Drosophila melanogaster: one gene and its partners. The protein of the gene in region 1 interacts with the protein of each later gene in a pairwise test. Each region holds a gene or a part of one and is shown in the gene's direction. Other genes may lie near its edges.

Region 1 (3,248 bases):
CTCCGCTTCGAAATCAACAGCGCCCAATTGCTCTTTTTTGACAACTCTCAGCACATCGTACACCACGACCTGATCTTGTGAGTCCTTGGTTATGATATAACGTTTGTCGTTCAGCACCGCGCACTCCTTGATGGCGGCTCCACCTTTTATGCAGGCCACCTCAGTGCCGCCCTGTGTCCATTGTGCGTCCATTCCGCCCGAGGAATTTAGTGTGCACCTGTCGTACATGGGCAGCTTCCAACAGCGAATGTCCGAGTTCCAGGTGGTGGCCCACACCCCAGTCTTGTCGATGTTGTAGCCCAGACTCAGCACGGGCGCCTGCTCCTCGCACACAAGCGTTTTGTTACTAGGGTTCCGCATCTCGGTCACAATGATGTTGCGATCCCGACTGCCGGAGATGATGTACTGGAAGTTCTCGCTCATCAGCAGCGACCACACGCCCTCCTTGTGCACGTGGATGGTTTGAACACAGCGCTGTTGGCCCAGGTTCCACACCTTGATCGTGCCGTCGGAACTGCCAGACACCACCTGGTTTCCATCGGGCGACACCACCAAGCAGCGCACGTTCTCCGTATGGCCTCGCAGCTTCATTCTGCGCATACAGGTGCGGGGATCCCAGATACGCAGTATATTCTCCGTGGACCCGCTCACAATCACGGTGCCCGATGGATTCATGGCCAAGCTGTAGATTGAGTCCTTGGACCCGGTTAGACTAGAGGTGGTAACCGTGTTATTGCTCGCCGTGAGCGCGGTCAGTGTGTTCACGTCCCACAGGAAGATGGCCTTGTCCAGTCCAGCGCTGGCCACCTGTTCCCGATCCTTGGCGTAGGCCAACGCCTGCACGTAGTCGCGATGGGTCCGCAGGGTGGACATGCAGAAGCCTTTCTGGGCGTTCCACACCTTCACCGTGGTATCACAGCTGGCGCTAATAACTATGAGTGCAAAAGATTGAATGTTTGAATGAATGCCTAAACTGATCGGTGGAGCAACTCACGGTTCCTGCCATTACAGCAAAGTACTATGTCGTTGACCCAGTCGTTGTGGTGCTCCATCGATTGTATGTACTTCTCGCTGGAGTCCGTCCGTGTATTCCACACACGGATTATGGCGTCGCGACCGGCGGAGTACAACTTGCCGTTATTGGCATCCAGCTGCAGAGCGTTTACGCCATTCCGGTGCTGTTTCTCCTCGGCGTCCCGTATCACGAAGGAAACCTGGCGTCCGACGGTTTAATTGAATTAGTTTGGGCTTAGGTGTCCGCTTTCCTTCCCGTTTTCAATTGGCGCACTCACCTGCATTTTCTTACGTGCCTGACAAGTTTTGTGCGTCAACATGTCGTCCACGGATCTGCTGCACTGTGGCTCTCGGCGATATCTCTGGACTGAAGTGCTTCAGGAGCTGGCGTTGGTTGTTCTCTGCTCGCGGGGCGCGCACATTTATCGACGTTGCTTTGGGGCGGCTGATATTTACTTTTTGCAAATTGAAATTGAGGAATTTCCAGGCAACTACAAATTTTTCGCACCTATTTCGCTCTCTGTCTCTCCCCATTCGGTCCTCCCACCTCTCAGGCACTCCTCCACTCATTCTCCTGCGCCGGCTGGTGTTGCCACCTGGTTGTGCACACCGTGCCGGCTGTTCAACAGAGTTGACACTTCTTGTTCAGAAAGGTGACTCGTTCCGGAACCACTAAACTTAAAAATTCGAAAATTTTTAAAAAACCAGCCAAGAAAATAACTATAACATTTGTTTTTAATTGTACATTCAGGAAATATCGGGGCTAATGTTATGCAAATACGCAAAACGCCCACTAACATGAGCGCTCCAAGCGTTAAAGCCCTTGATAACAAGTACTCTCCCTGTCAGATATGTACATTTATATATTAGGATCTCTCAGACATTGACATATTATATTGGTCAAAACATTTACATCTTTATACACATATCTACCTAGAACCAGTGATATACCATCTGCAGAGTGTCCGCGAAGACCGACATAACTTTCACATATATCGCGACCTGGCAGCCCTATTCTTTACATAACAAGAAGAAGAAGACTCGTCGACCTCACCGGGATCCAAAAACTTAATTGCATTTTCACCGATAATAATGGCCGGGACACAGTCAAAAGACGCCTGCAGCATATGCGACAAAGTGGGCCTCAAGCCCTTCACCCGGGATAATGTGTTCAACTACTACATACCGCTGCACGGCCTGGTGAGCTACGGAGCCCTTGCGGTGAATGTTATGAACCCCCAGATCGTGCCCAAAATCCTGCCCAAGAAGGACCTGACGAACGTGTTCCTCATCTCCGCGGTGGTGGGCAGTGCCTTCTACATTTACGGCAGGCCCCACCTGAAGGACGTGAAGAACAACAAGCGAGGTGCGTACGCCCTGCTGGGCGCCACCCTATTCTCCATGGGATCCGTTCTGGCCTGGGCGCTCATCAAGTCCGCCCTGCCACAGGACAATGCACTGCTGGCGACCCTGGCGGGCTTGGGAACTGGCGCCGCCATCGTGAAGGTCGGCACTGATTACATTCAGGACGTGGATAAGCTGCAGAAGAACTAGATGATCTGATCGATACGATATAGGACTGAGGTATTCGAACCCAAAAGTGGGTTCGTACTGTAATTGCTGTCTTGGCCGTACATAGCTCGTAATGCAATATTATCTCCCGCATATTTGAATAAAATTATACTATAAACCCGACTGAGCGGTGTGTTTTGCTGTGTCAAGAGATGGATAATGCCGGGTGTAGATTGAAAATGTTTGCGTTTATTTTAAATTAAATGTACCTTTAATTGCCGTCTCTTAACTGCTAGTAATGCTTAACAATTGAATTGTTTTAATTTATGTTATGTATGTGTGGTATATGCGTTACCTTTATAAATGGTTACTTCGTTTATATAAAAACATCTAATCGGAAACGCCAATATGTACATTCTTGTCGGATTAAAACATTCTACAAATTGCCTTGGCGACTTTGAATTGACGACTACTTTATGGTAAATATATTCTTTTTGTATTGCGAATTATACACTTTAAACTTATTTTTAATTCTTGTATACATACTTTACAAACGCTCAATGGTCGGACTTAACTATCAATAAATCAGTATGTATATATATATATATACCATTATATATACTAAAAAAAATCATTGAAAATCGTTGCAACGGTTGTCTTCAAAAGGAAATGATTTTCGCGCTGCAAAAAATTCGAATCAACTTAGTTATGAATACATATTG
Region 2 (3,686 bases), on another chromosome or scaffold:
GAGAGCATCCCCATTCCTCCCTAACGGATTTGTACAGGTGGTTGGGTGGTTGGTTGCATTAAAAATGCATTGGCCAACTCGTTTATTGTTGCTCCTTGGCAGAGCTTTGGTTTACTTTTATTTAGACGAGCTATTCGCTGGGAGAGCCTGATGATGCAAGCTGCAGCTGCAAGGATTCCACTCCATTTTGGGAGACACACACTTTTCATTAGCTCAAAGGAAGAAGCATGGATCGGAGCTCAGCTCAGGTGGAGAAGGTAAAGCCCTTAAAGTTAAGCGCATGGGAGCGGAACAAAAGTTGCCTTAAAGTCGTTGCCAGTCAATAATGACAGAGGATCCCAGAGGATAGGATGCCGTTTGGAAATGGTAAAGCGGATGCGGACGGGGATTCGAATCGGTGCTGAAGCTTCGGCCACGCCCACTCCGTGTCCGTGGGCGTGGCAGATGAATGAGAGGAGCACAGCCCCCCGAAACCCCGAAAAGAAAAGCAGAAGCAAAAGCAGCTGCAGATTTTCTATAAAAGCCGAGGCTAACGAGATTTGATGAATTGCAAGTCTTTGTGAATGAAGCTACAAGAAAGCTGCAGCATGAATAGCCCCGAGGCACCGCCAGGCCGCCTCCCACTCCTTGCGCTTTTCCATCTAACCCAGGTCCACATAAAAAAAACCCATTAAGTGGTTTAAAGCAGTGAAAAAGCGCACAGCACACAACAAGCAACACAGCAAAAGAAAAATGCAGTTGACATGAAAGCCAGCCAAAACGGGGCGATACAGGGATACAGGGATGGGGGTGGTAGGTCGGTAGGTAGATTGGTAGGTGGTGGAGTCAGACAGATGAACAGTACAGAACAGCACAGCACAGCACAGAGGAGCGGAGCAACAATGCTCACCCAGAGATGAGATAAGAACAGCCGCTGGAGGAGGACAAAGCAGCTTGACGAATTACTTGGCAGCTGCTCCTAGTGAAATCCCTGGGAGAATCAAGGAGCAGCGGGCGGGGCGGGGGCGAGCTGTGCGGGAAAGGACGAGGCGCAAGAAATTTAATTTGACCAACATTTTGATGTATCAAGTTCAGTTGAAGCCGAAGATTTATGACTTGCTGACAGAGCAAGCGGAGCAGCATCACCAGGATTGGGACGTCATGTCGGCAGAGAACAGTGCGGAGCAAGTGCATGCAAGAAATTTTATTCCATGCCAACCAGCCTAATCATTTTATAAATCATCTTGGTTTACCAGACGTACATATATATTATTGTACATATAAAGATCTGGAAGAGCTTATCTATGAGTTTCTCCATGATCATGCTCAAGCTTTAAAGTCCAAAAGTTGGAGCCGCAAAGCTTTGGCCGAAACAAAAATGAAAGTAAGCTGACTACTATCGAGCACATTTCCCATTTCCACTTGCCTCACGTAATGAGCCCACTGAAAATGAGGAAAACAAGGCCTTGACATCTGAGCCTGTTTGACTTGTGGTGATAATTGCAATTGGCGCGGTGTCTGTGACTTCAACTGTGACGCAGACAGTGACTGTGATTACACAAAGAGGAAACCTATGCCATTACCGATGGGGTATTCTGCCACGCAAGAATGCTGTATAAATCATAATATATAAATTATAAATTGAAAAGATAACATCGAATATATTAAATATTGCCTTTAAAAACTTTAACAGAGTTTACAACTTGCTTTTTGTATCACTTCTTAAAATAACAAGGAATACTTGTACACAAGTGTTCGGAGTTAACCAAGTAGTGACTGCTGCTTTAAAAGTCAGTTGAATAATTCAGTTTAAGGCTTTCTGACCCGAATTTACTCCCGTAAAACTGGAAGTGTACACCTAGGAGGACATCTGGAGATGGCTCGACTAATGGCCTTGATCATGGCGGTGTTGCTTCACTCGGTACTGGGCATCTCGTACTACTACTACTTTCGCGAATCTCCCGGCTCCGCTGCTCCTCTCTTGGGCGCCTGGCTCTTTTCCGCCTGCGTGGTGACCCTTCTTCACGGGGTGAGGATGTTTTCAAGTGCCCTGCCCGCCGATCAGCGGTTCAGGAATGGGAATCGAAACCTTCGCGGCAATGAGTCGTCCTGGGCATCGCTCTTACTGGAGACAGGCGTCTGCTGTTTGGTGCTGGATCTGACCCTTAGCAAACTGTGGCATCGCATAGAGTCCCTCTGCCAGTGCGCCATTGTGGGCATACTCCAGGCCTTGGCCGTCGAGGAGCAAACCTTCCTGGTCTGCGAGTACTGGACTTTGGGCCTGACTACCGGCCTGATCGGCGCATGTCTTCTGTGGCTTTCCCTATGGGCCACCGCGTTGCCCCAGAAGCTCCGCTGCGGGATGCTCGACTGGCGTCGCACCCTTCATCGCCGCTGCTCCGCGCTGATCTTCGGAAGTCTCGAGCCCGGCACTCCAATGCAGACCCAATCCCAGGGAAGCGCACAGAGCTTTGCCAATTGAGACGGAGGGGTGACCATTCCACTTCCACAGCCATATCACACTACCTCAGTCAATAGCTAAATTTATGGTTCAAATTATACTAAAAGCGTTTTAATAGGCACAGTGGGACACAACGGGCTGCATCATAAATTGAATTATGAATAACCATAATAGTAAATTTCGATTCAAAGCGTAGTTTCTTTTAGCTTCTTTAAGAAAAAAATAAACTCAAAAATCGAACATATATTAAATCGCAAGACCACTTTCTGACCGAATCCATGAAGCCAATTTGAAGCGGACAACTACCGGCCAAACTGCCAACCACTGGGGGCTGTCATCCCCCCGAAAAAGACTTGTAAACTCGTTAGCCGTAGCCGTACCCATATGCAATGCGGAAGAGGACCGATCCGAGATCCAAAAGCGACACGCCCCCAAACAACCGATTCGGTTTCGGTTTCGGATTCGGAAGACGGAACCCAGCGGCTCAAAGTAAAGCAAAGCAAGTCGATCGAAAGCGAAAACGAAACCATTACTCTGATGCGCGATCGATGGCTGTAAACTTGAACTTGAAGCGTAGCCAAAAGCGATGGACACCACGACGGCAAACAGCAACTGGCAACTAGCAAATAGCAACTGGCAACTAGCAACTTGCAACTTGCAACTAGCGACATGCAAGAGCCTGGCACACGCAACAATGCCGCTGAAATGCTTCCAAGGCAGTGCCAGCCAAATGCTGTTGCTTGCTGGCGCGCTGTCGTGTTTCGCACTGGTTAAAACTGCAGCCGCAGCCTGTTGCCAATTGCGGGAAATTGGTCGGGTCGTCGAGCGATATAAAAGCCTGGCTGGCAATGCAGCCGTGTTAATCAAAGCGCGTCGCTCGCCAGGAAAAGTGCAAGTGTTTTCCACGCTCCCAGGCAGCATTCAAACTCAAATCGCAGAGAAAATTCAGCGAGGTGAAATACGCATACTTTTTTTTTCTGTGCTTATAATAAAATCGAAAGGTGTTCCAAAATATCTGACCTTCGTGTTGCAGAATTAACTAAGCTGCTATAGCAGATATAGTTCAGTTACAAGTGCAGCTTACGATACAATTTTTCCATTTCGGATGCACTTCGCGTCCTGAAAATCAGCTTCGGGTATAAGCAGCAAAATGTTATTTTATAATATCCTTTGGGTTAACAAGTAAAATATATTATCGCAAATATTTTTCATGAACACGATCCCTTAACTTTTCTCTTATTCGCTA
Region 3 (5,506 bases), on another chromosome or scaffold:
GGGCTTTAGTCAGCTGACTCAGCTGCCAAATTTGGCAGTGTTTACACACTTGCTTATTTCGGGAATCCTTGTGCTGATGACCACTTGGGTTTATGGACGCGTTCGTTTCCAGTGCGACTTGCAGTTTATGTTAGGCAAAACGATCTCAAGTTTCAAAATTTTCTTTATACGCTTTGCCACGCCCATTTTTCTGGGACTGTGTCTGGTGAGTAGTGGTTATTATTATAAAATTATTTGTATATAGTTAATGACTGATATTATTGGAATTTCTTGCAGTTTCAACTAACCTATTTATTTACGCGTGATCGCATACACGATGTCCTGATTTATGTGAGTCAGGGCTTGATTCTCCTAACGGCCATATCTTATATGGTTTACAAGGTATGTCGGACGAATGGCGATTGGCGCCAGCGATTGCAACAGTGCCTCGCACCACATGACTGGCATCCGGTGGATGCGGACAACCGGCGATTCTACGAGGAAATCATGGGCATCTCGGAGATGCTGGTTATAGATGCCAATGCCAACACCACATAGTGCCTAAATATCGAATACTCCCTAGATCAAAACTCAATACTTACAGCGTCGTCACTTGACAAATGAACTGAACTGAACTCACTTTTATTATACACCCATATGCGGTCACATTCACACATGCAAAAAATACAATAACAAACACGCACACTAGTATATAAATAAGCGGATCCATTGGCAATGGCGATTGTTAGTTGTTGTAATGAAGTTGTACTGATATTTTCCAAAAGCTAGCTATAGTGAACAATATACTGGTGATATTTAGTAGTTTCCTACTAAAATGTTCAACAAGCTTCGGCCAAAAATATTGTTATGAACTAATAAAATTTTACCTTTTAGGCATTGAAAATGTTGAAGTCTTTTTTTGAAGTTGGTAAACGTATAAGGAAAAGAGTTAAATTTATGATATACGGCTGTCAGCACTTTAAACTATTTAATGTCGCACTAATAATAATAATAATTTTGGAATTTTAGTTATAGAATATATGACGTTTAGAGTAGATTGTTAGAAGCATGTTTTTAAATGCATGCAAAATAATAATAGTTTGAAAAATATATGAGGTAATTGTATATTATTACCTAAAACTAATCGCTAATAACAAACAAACATAAGAAAAAACAAATATTAAGACATTATCAATGCGTTATTGAAATCAACAGCCAGGGCGTTATGGGGTTTACTTGCTTTTGCATTGCTGTCTGAGTTTTCCCCCAGATTTGATAACTTTGCGGCTGTCTTGTTTGTCATCCCATTTCCCGAGCACGACCATATCAGTTTCCAGTTCCAAAATCGAAATGAACTTGGCAATGCACGACGATAGGCGCACATAAGAGAGACAGGCACAGATATAAGAGCTCTAATAATCTGAATTTAAAGCAAAATAACAATAAATGCAAATTTATGGTCGAGATCGGAAATACACTTACAAAACGTGTAATAACAAATTTACAATTATTTTGATAACCGAAAGCTTGAAACTATAGATAACTCGCTTAGATATATATTTTCCTAGCATATCTTTATTTTGACAACAGATCTGTTTGAAATTAGAGGGAGGTTTCAAATGAATCTCGGTATAAAGATACCCCACTTCCATAGTAATAACTGTGTGATTAAAGACCAAGTGTGCATCGCCTAAGTTGGGGTATCTCATTCAAGAGGGATGAGCTAAACAGAGGCCTGCTGTCGGAATCGGATTCAGTTTGCCGGCATCGGTTCTACTAATTAGTCCGTCAATTTAGAGTAAAACGCTCGCGGATCGGTTGCAGAAAAAAAATATATATATACTAATATTACCTCTGCGGGAGTGTAAAATTAGATCGTAGTTATATATACTTATTTACAAAATTTGCTTAAATCCATTCTCGCCCACATTTTGGCGGTAATATTGTGGGTAGTTCAACATGGTATATGAAACATCGTATGATACCGGGCATAAACCCTTTTCCCCCGATCTGAATCGAGGAAAATGGGATAAGCCAACGGACTTTATGTTCGCCTGCTTTGGATTAGCCTTGAAGTTGGATGTCTTTGTGGCATCGTTTTGGATGTTCTTCGACATGGGCAGTAAGTAACGCAAGGGCGACTACGTATATTATATTGCTGATAAGGTTCGGATTTAGACTAATCTGTGGAGGGGCGGTGCTCTGCTAATGTTCTCTTACCTTCTCATCTGACATACATACAAAACAATGCCTAATTCTGTCGATATTTATGTATTTAATGTAATAATTGTGTCTCTTTATACAGCACAAGAGATAACAGTTTATACATCAGAATTTAATCTTTATCTTTGAATGCATTTATTTAAATACACTATTTGCTTGGACCAGTTCTTGGAATACTGCCGTACTTTGTATATATGTCCATTTACTTGGTTCCCATCATGGTCATTCACTCCTTCATGGGTCAGTTCTCCAGCAGTGGATTCATCTCCGCCTTTCGCCTGTCGCCTTTCTTTAAAGGTACGTACGTAACCGAGAAGTTTAAACAGATATTAAATATTGATCGAAATATCAATTTCAGGCATGGGATATGTGAGTGGATTTTTAACTATCTCCATGCTAATTTACTATAGCATTTTTGCTGCGGTTCCACTTCTGTTCATAATAAACTCATTTCGACCCACTTTACCTTGGAGCTGTGAGGGCTTGAGTTCTTGGCACAATGGAAGTGCAACGCTATCTAGTGTATGAAATTTGTGTATGACTAAATTGAATTGAAGACTAAGTACATTTTTTATATTTAAGTCTTGTAATAAGACACTGATCTTGGAGGACTTTTCGGAATACAACAGATCTCACCAGCTGCTCCATGTACCATCCGTGCTCTATTTTCAGTAAGTGCTCCTATTTATATAGCAATAAAACATTACCTAATTAATCCAATGCAAATATTTTAATATTATTTTAAGAATTGTTTAAAAATAATTTCTTTTTAACTCTATGTTTACAGAAATCACTATGATAGCATGCAACAGGATGCGGTTCCGGATTGGTATAAGGATTACGAGTTGTCTTGGCATTTTGTTGGCCTATTCGCAATCATTTGGGTTGTGATTGCATTTATTTTTTATAAATTCTCAGAGACGGCCAAGTTTGGAAAACTTATACGCTACATGGTGATTGTTACCCTGGTTCTTCTTTTAGTGTGCTTTGTGCGATTCCTGTTCCTTCCGGGAGCTCTTAACGGGCTCCACAGATATGTGACTCCAAAGGCAAGTGACATGGCCATGGGAGTAGTGTCCACATTCATCATGGTTCTTCATGCATTCGGAGCTGGTTGGGGCAGTGTAATAACTCTGTCCAGTTTCAACGGTTTCAAGACTGACATCATGTCGTATAGTTGGATTATTTCCTTTGGACAGATCTTCATTTATATCATGTTTGGCATGGTTTCCTTTATGCTGGAACACTACTTTAATGGTAATAGCACTTTATAGATTTGCAATATCTTTACTGTATTGAAGTTATCCCTTTCAGAACTATCCGATGTTGATGATAACGGACATGTTTTGAGCCATTGGCTGCTATATTTGTCAAGTGCTTCTGCCTTGTCCACAATGGCTTGGCCAAACCTATGGACTTTTATATACTATTCTATGCTTTTAATTGCTGCTCTAATTGTGATGGTGATGATAATCTACACAATTAATTTTTATTTTTCACGCTACTAAACTTAAATAATTTTATTTTCAGACGACGCAAATCTTCACGGTTTTGCAAAGTTTGTTTGATGAGTTCGAAGTACTTAGAGTGAGAAAACAAGAGGTGACCTTTGGGCTAATTGGAGGTATTGCACTCTGCTCCTTTTACTTTTGCACCAATGTAAGTACTTAAGTTTACACAAAAAAGATATATTATTAAGAAATATTTTAAACAATTTTCCGTTTCTAGCATGGCATTATTTTCTTTTCGGCCTTGGGTCTTGATGCCATTTTCTCACATAGTTTGCTGCACTTACTGCTCCTTTTGGTGGTTTTGTGGATCTATGGTCGCGAACGATTCCAGCGAGATATTGAGTTCATGTTGGGCCAGCCCTTTGCCTCCTGGAAGGTTTTCATACTCCGCTTTATAGCTCCAATAATTTTAGTCATTTGTCTGGTTAGTTAGTTAGTTAGTTGCTTGTTGCTTTGAATAATCATATTCTTTTAACTAACTAGCTCGCGGGAATTGCTCTGTCCATATCGGAGCACTCTTATTCCACAACAGTGGTCTTCGTGATGTCAATTGTCCTCGTGGTTTTGCCCATTCTGGCCATTCCTGGATATGGATTTTACTACCTCTACCAGAGCACGGGCACCTTTTGCGAACGCTTTAAACGCACCTGCCGACCCACCGATTGGTATCCGGTTGAGATGGAGCACCGCCAGCAGTACGAGGAAGCTGTGGACAACACGGAGATGACCCACCAACTCTTCGAGGTTACTGAGGAGGTCAACTAGTTACTGATGCACTTAGAAATGTACTAAATATAAATATATGAGTAATTTTAATGCGTATTTAAAAAAAGGTATGCATATATATACAATCATATTGTGAAAGGTGGAAATGCTACACTTATTGCACTATGCTTACAGCAATGGGTTTTACAGCGTTTATCTCACCTGAATCGATCAGGTTCACACGTGTGACTGTCCAGAGAAACGTAGATATCTCGGAAAAGTTAATAAAGTTGAGCTTAAAAAATCTGTGACGTCCACAATTATAATGCTTACATAGTTTGTCTATCGAGAGAGAGAGAGAGCTTTTAAAAACGTGTAATTATTAATGTAGTTATTGATTAATTATGGTTATAAGCAAAGTACTCTTATTGACGTCATGTTAGTGTATAGAAATGCCTTTTAATTTCAGAATGCCACTTCGGTGACTCACTACTTTTAGGAACGGTATTAGTTTCATTGAGATGTTTGTTTTAACATATCCAAATTAATATACATCATATTACATTAAATTATTAGGGATCTTCTTACTGTCTGTTTGAACTTGTTCACATTACATAGTATTACAAAGTAATACCGACTATTTATTCAAAAAATTATGCTTAACATTATTTCTTAAAAGTGTATTTGATGGCCGATCTAGTGTGAATGGTCCGGGATAGGCTATGAGCATCTCAGTCCAGTGGAATCAGCTACACTGCGGTTTATCAGCGGAATCGGATTTAGTTCGTCCGCATCGCTGCTACTAATTAGTTCGTCAATTTAAAACGCTCGCGAAATGTTTGTTGTTTGCCAAAGCTTTTAATAATAAGTACCTCCATCGGCGTGTGAAATTGGATATATTTCTTTTTATACAAAAGTTTTTCAAATTCCTTTGCTCACACAATTTACCGGGCTATACTAACGTCACAAAATGATATATGAAACATCGTATGATAGTGGGCACAAACCCTTTTCCCCCGACTTGAAGAGAGGAAAGTGGGATAAGCCCACCGACTATATATTTGCCTGCTTTGGATTAGCCCTTAAAC
Region 4 (4,651 bases), on another chromosome or scaffold:
GACGTTGGCACTTGAGTGCACACGATAATCATTTATAAGGCGCATAAATGTTCTGTTCCCCGGGGGGGAAAAAGCTGGAAAATCCGAGGGGGGAAATGGGGGTGGTTGTCAGCTGGCGGATAAAAAGCGCCCAAAGTCGAAGGGAATATCAGATTCAAATTCACTTGGCAGATATGCTGAGGTCGTTGCTATTTTTGGGGTATTTCGGGATTCGAAATTAGGGGGGGTGGTCTTGGTCTTGTCACGTCAGCTGCAGAGTCTGACAGCCACTGCACGAAATTTGCATTCAAATCGAGCCGTGTATCTGGGCAACTTAGTATCTGTATCTGACAGATACCCAGCTGGCACACTTCTTTGTCGAGGTTGAGAAATGGCTACGGCCCAACTTGCCGCTTTCTTTCGAACTTCCTTCAAAGTGCCTGAAACTAATTATCTGCCTGCTCGCAAACGTTTACTCCAACTTTCGTTTAATTGGTCATAGTTATCGCCAAGTTTGTCATTATTAAAGATGCTTCTGATGCATCTGAAACTGGATTTTTTCAGCCAGAACACTGCTTAATAGCTCACATGTCGCTTTGCCTTTGGTCCTGCTCCACGTTATCCCGTCGCCAAAGCAAACAAAATCTTGCTGATGCAGCAGCTGGCAATTACAGCGAATGCTTTTCTAATTAGATGCACCCACATTTTCCAATTCCCCCCGGCCCCGCCCCCCTCTCTCTCCGCTGCTCTACAACATGGGTGGAAAAGCGATGGAAATTGCCTGAGTGCGTAAGCGAAAAACCAGCCATGTGCATGAATCGTAGGCGAGATATATCACTAAACAATGCACTCTCAGCAACGTGCCACTGAGTATAAGTTGGATATTTAGTTAAAAACTATTTAGATGCTTTTGCTGTTATTCAGTGGTTTAAAGCGCACATTTATAAAGTCCTCTGTGCACTTATCGAATTCAAAGTCCTAAAGAAATCAAAGAAATGTCCATAGGTAATCATAGCTTTTTGCCATTGAGACTCGCACGCCCTCAAGTGTAAATCCGCTCTCCAGTCAATTTTCTTCGCTTTTCCGCCGCACATTTTCCCCGCTTGTCCAGACGATTCGATGCTTATCGATGAGCGCAAATCTCGTGCCTCCCATATTTATGTATATATATATGTTTATACATATATATGCATGAGCTTTTAGAAATCATGTAGACATTAGTTGCCCTGCAGTCGTCTGACTGTTTGTTACCCTCGAAATGGAAACTGCACTTTATCGCTTAAATTGCTCAAGTGCAGTTCATTTATGATTTTCGTGCTCATTTCCGCTTGTTGTGGCCGATTTCCGTCGCATAGATATCTCACTCAGCATTTTCCGCTCTGCATTAGAATATGTGAATCTGTGAAACTGTGAATGTCTCTGAATCTCAGTCAGTCGAGGCGATTGTGCAAGTGACCTTGGCCAGGAGGCGGGGGCCACCCATGCGGCCATTTCGTAAACGAGCCACCTCTCATGAATATGAGTCAATTAATATAACTCAATTTGATGTCGGGCCAGAGTGTTTCGACTGCTACCCTATACAAGTATCTATGCATTTTCAAGAACTTTAACAATTGAATGTGGAAAATAGTACATGAGTAGCGAGAAATCAAAATTAAATGAATGAAAAAATTGTATCTGTAATATCTTTGTAGCTTTGTATCATAAAATTTTTTTCTTTTGTATGGAGTAGTGTGTTCAAAGTTCGTCAAACTTATCTGGCCACCAAATGGTTTGTGTATATTCACGTATTCCGTATGATATGTGCTGGGCAGCTTGTGTTTTGCAATGTGAATCACGACGAAATTGCATTTGATTTTGGGAGGCTCGCATTTGCATTCGCATTCGGATTTGTGCAGCGATTTATCCGTTAAGTAACTAAATCAATTAGCCTGCTGTGCCGATTAAAATAACGAGAAGCGTTTCGGTCATAGCCGATAACAAATACGATTCGAATGGCACAATCTAATGATGCTGGGCATTAAGATACAGATGGAAATTCGAATGCACAGTGGTCCAAAAAGGGCCCAACCTCAAACTGCATGTCACAAGCAATGCCAGTCATAAAAGCTCGGCACTTCACACGACTAAAAAAGCTTTGCTCACCCAGTAACCGGTCACCTTGCCTTATGAATATACATATATTTAATATATCCCTGGAGGTCAGTGAGTCACACCGTGTTAGATTCACCCCTTGACATCCCCCGAACGAAAATTAGTATAATGTAACGAAGAAGCATTCACAATGAACAGACCCCCAAAACTACAGTTAGTAAGACAAGTTAATATGGTTTATTCATTTATTGGAAATTACAGCTTTCTTAAACTAATAATCCTATTTTTTATAAATACCCAGCTAAAGCTAATCTCCTTAATATTTATAGTTTCATTAGATACCATTTGAGTAGATAACACAATTTGTACACAATATGTACTACATTTCCTGATCGTTTCGTCCCACTGTGCCATGTGTTGCTCGCTCTCTGTCTCTCTCTCTCTCTCTCTCTCTCTCTCTCTCTTTCGCCCGCTGCTTCTCTCGCTCTCGCAATTGTAGTTTTATTCGCCGAGTGTAACGATGGGAGAATTCTGAGTATTTGTGTTGTTTGTATTACTTCAGTGGCATTCTGTGCGTGCTGGCGAGCGCAATATGAATTAGTCAGCGGCGCTTCGCTACATTTGCTACATTGGCTTTAATCGCTCGTTTCTGAGGCATCTATTCGGCTGGACAATCTGGATTAACTGCATCCAAAACGTATATATCTTGTATTGGCCGCGATGTCGTTGACGGGAACCCAGGACTACGATCGCAAATACCTGCTCAGCATGCCGGGCCTGTGCAAGCTGGCCTGTTTGGTAATTAGCCTTACACATATGTGCCATTGTGTATCGCCCTTAATGTGTGCGCTTGTATGTGTGCGTCTTTCAGCTGTGCAGCTTTGTTGGAATATTGTGCATCATCTGCGGACCGGTGCGCGTGAGCAATTTCCGCGGCAGTTTCTACCTGGCCGTAGTCACCATCGGATTCGTGGCCACCGGCTGCCTGCTCCTGGCCAGGTATCTCCGGTTGTGGCAGCGCCAGTTCTGCCGATGCGATCCCACGCTCTGGTCCCTGGCGGTGCACTCCTCATTGGCCCTGGCCTACTTCACGGCCTCCGGACTCGTACTCTCCCTGGATATTGGAGCCTATACGGCGGCGGCGGTAAGTGGCGTTCTCGCAGTTAGGATAAGTTCGGAAACCAAAAGTATTACGGCTCATTGTTTCGGCTAATGATTAAGCTAGGAAAGATACTGGTAAACGAAACACTGAGCCTCCAGTTGGAGCCGATTCATTCCCTCGCTGTGATGAACTCTCTGTAGATCCGTCTAATACACCCTATTCTTCACCTTTTTTTTTACAGTTCTTTGGCCTGACAGCATTTTGCATCAACGGACTGGAGGCCTATGGAAACTATCGGCGCAGTCGCCAGCGGGAGGTGGCCACCCAAACGATATAGACTTGGTTTCAGGTGCACGAACCCAGCTTTTGGTGGCTCTTACTACGTTAGGCTTACTCTGTGTGTGTATCTGTGTGAGAGCGAGTATCTGTGTGCGAACGAGTATCTGTGTGAGTGCCAGTGCGTGCGCGTGTGTGTGAGTTTGTTTTGAGAGAGCGAGTATCGCTTGCGTTTGCTTGAAGCATTTAAGTCTGAAGTTTGAAATTGTGGCAAGCTTTTGTCGCGGGAACAGTTACCGTATGTGTTATCTAATAGTCGCTAGATATAGGTCAAGAAGTGAAGAAGATAAAGCCAGTCGATCGCAGCAATAACGTAGATATAATAGCGAACAGAAAGCGAGAGAAAACCACTAACAAGAGAGCAAATTCCAAAGAGATAAGTTGTATTGTGCCTTCTGGCTCTGCTTCTTCCCTTCTTCTGATAACTGGTTAACAATGCGTGAATATATATGTACATATATATACCCGATTTTTTTTTTACTTTTATTAAGTACATAGTATTTGTGTGTCTCAAGTGAATATACATTGAAGTAGTTAGTTTTTAGCACAATGCTTTTCATGACCACTGAATTGTTGTATTTATAAACAAATAAATCGTTTGCAATGGAAGAATAAAACAAAAATACATAAATGTAATTTGTAAATGAAGGGTGTTTTTTAATGATGAGAGTTCATATGCGTAAATTGGGCTTGAATGTCAATTGTTGATCGTGCATATTGTTATTGATTCATTTACGCAAAAGGCCACTTTCCCGAGGCTATTGTTTATTTATTTTACTACACGAACTACTTTTGCGACCATGTTTGCTTGCACAACAAGCTATTTTCACCTAACATTGCCGGATAGAATTTTTGCAACCGGCGCTCCATGAAAAAGATATCGCCAACCTTTGTTTACCTTATCCGCATTGAAACTGAAAATAAACAGGTACACTATGGTGCCCCCCTGTCTGATTTTGCTTCTTGTTTCGTTTTCGTTTTGGTTTCGGTGCTCTGTAAGCTGTTGCCATTGTTGGCTTTTCAAATCTTTTGAACCACCCACAAACGCAACAACCATCATCACCCAACAAGCAGCACCCAACGCCCACAAAAAAGCACTTGGCTCGTCTATTGTTTGTGTTGTTTTTGGGGGCTCCCGCC

What was found.
Region 2: the proteins of CG13220 (region 1) and CG11379 interact in a two-hybrid assay, tested with the Drosophila melanogaster proteins (one large-scale study listed by BioGRID).
Region 3: the proteins of CG13220 (region 1) and CG13795 interact in a two-hybrid assay, tested with the Drosophila melanogaster proteins (one large-scale study listed by BioGRID).
Region 4: the proteins of CG13220 (region 1) and CG12730 interact in a two-hybrid assay, tested with the Drosophila melanogaster proteins (one large-scale study listed by BioGRID).

Annotation. Positions count from the first base shown.
Region 1 is NT_033778.4:11,282,392-11,285,639, forward strand, and holds CG13220 (uncharacterized protein), read left to right. Parts: upstream 1-1,891; 5' UTR 1,892-2,106; coding exon 2,107-2,568; 3' UTR 2,569-2,707; downstream 2,708-3,248. Other genes in the region: CG9062 (uncharacterized protein), read right to left, coding at 1-932, 995-1,214, 1,293-1,334.
Region 2 is NC_004354.4:1,178,409-1,182,094, forward strand, and holds CG11379 (uncharacterized protein), read left to right. Parts: upstream 1-1,756; 5' UTR 1,757-1,855; coding exon 1,856-2,461; 3' UTR 2,462-3,143; downstream 3,144-3,686.
Region 3 is NT_033779.5:7,722,528-7,728,033, reverse strand, and holds CG13795 (uncharacterized protein), read left to right. Parts: upstream 1-1,735; 5' UTR 1,736-1,938; coding exon 1,939-2,101; intron 2,102-2,367; coding exon 2,368-2,499; intron 2,500-2,560; coding exon 2,561-2,724; intron 2,725-2,784; coding exon 2,785-2,873; intron 2,874-2,989; coding exon 2,990-3,459; intron 3,460-3,516; coding exon 3,517-3,665; intron 3,666-3,732; coding exon 3,733-3,861; intron 3,862-3,930; coding exon 3,931-4,137; intron 4,138-4,196; coding exon 4,197-4,478; 3' UTR 4,479-4,989; downstream 4,990-5,506. Other genes in the region: CG13796 (uncharacterized protein), read left to right, coding at 1-205, 277-537; CG13794 (uncharacterized protein), read left to right, coding at 5,389-5,506.
Region 4 is NC_004354.4:5,514,628-5,519,278, forward strand, and holds CG12730 (uncharacterized protein), read left to right. Parts: upstream 1-1,980; 5' UTR 1,981-2,793; coding exon 2,794-2,871; exon of another isoform or gene 2,872-2,873; intron 2,874-2,944; coding exon 2,945-3,217; intron 3,218-3,416; coding exon 3,417-3,512; 3' UTR 3,513-4,144; downstream 4,145-4,651.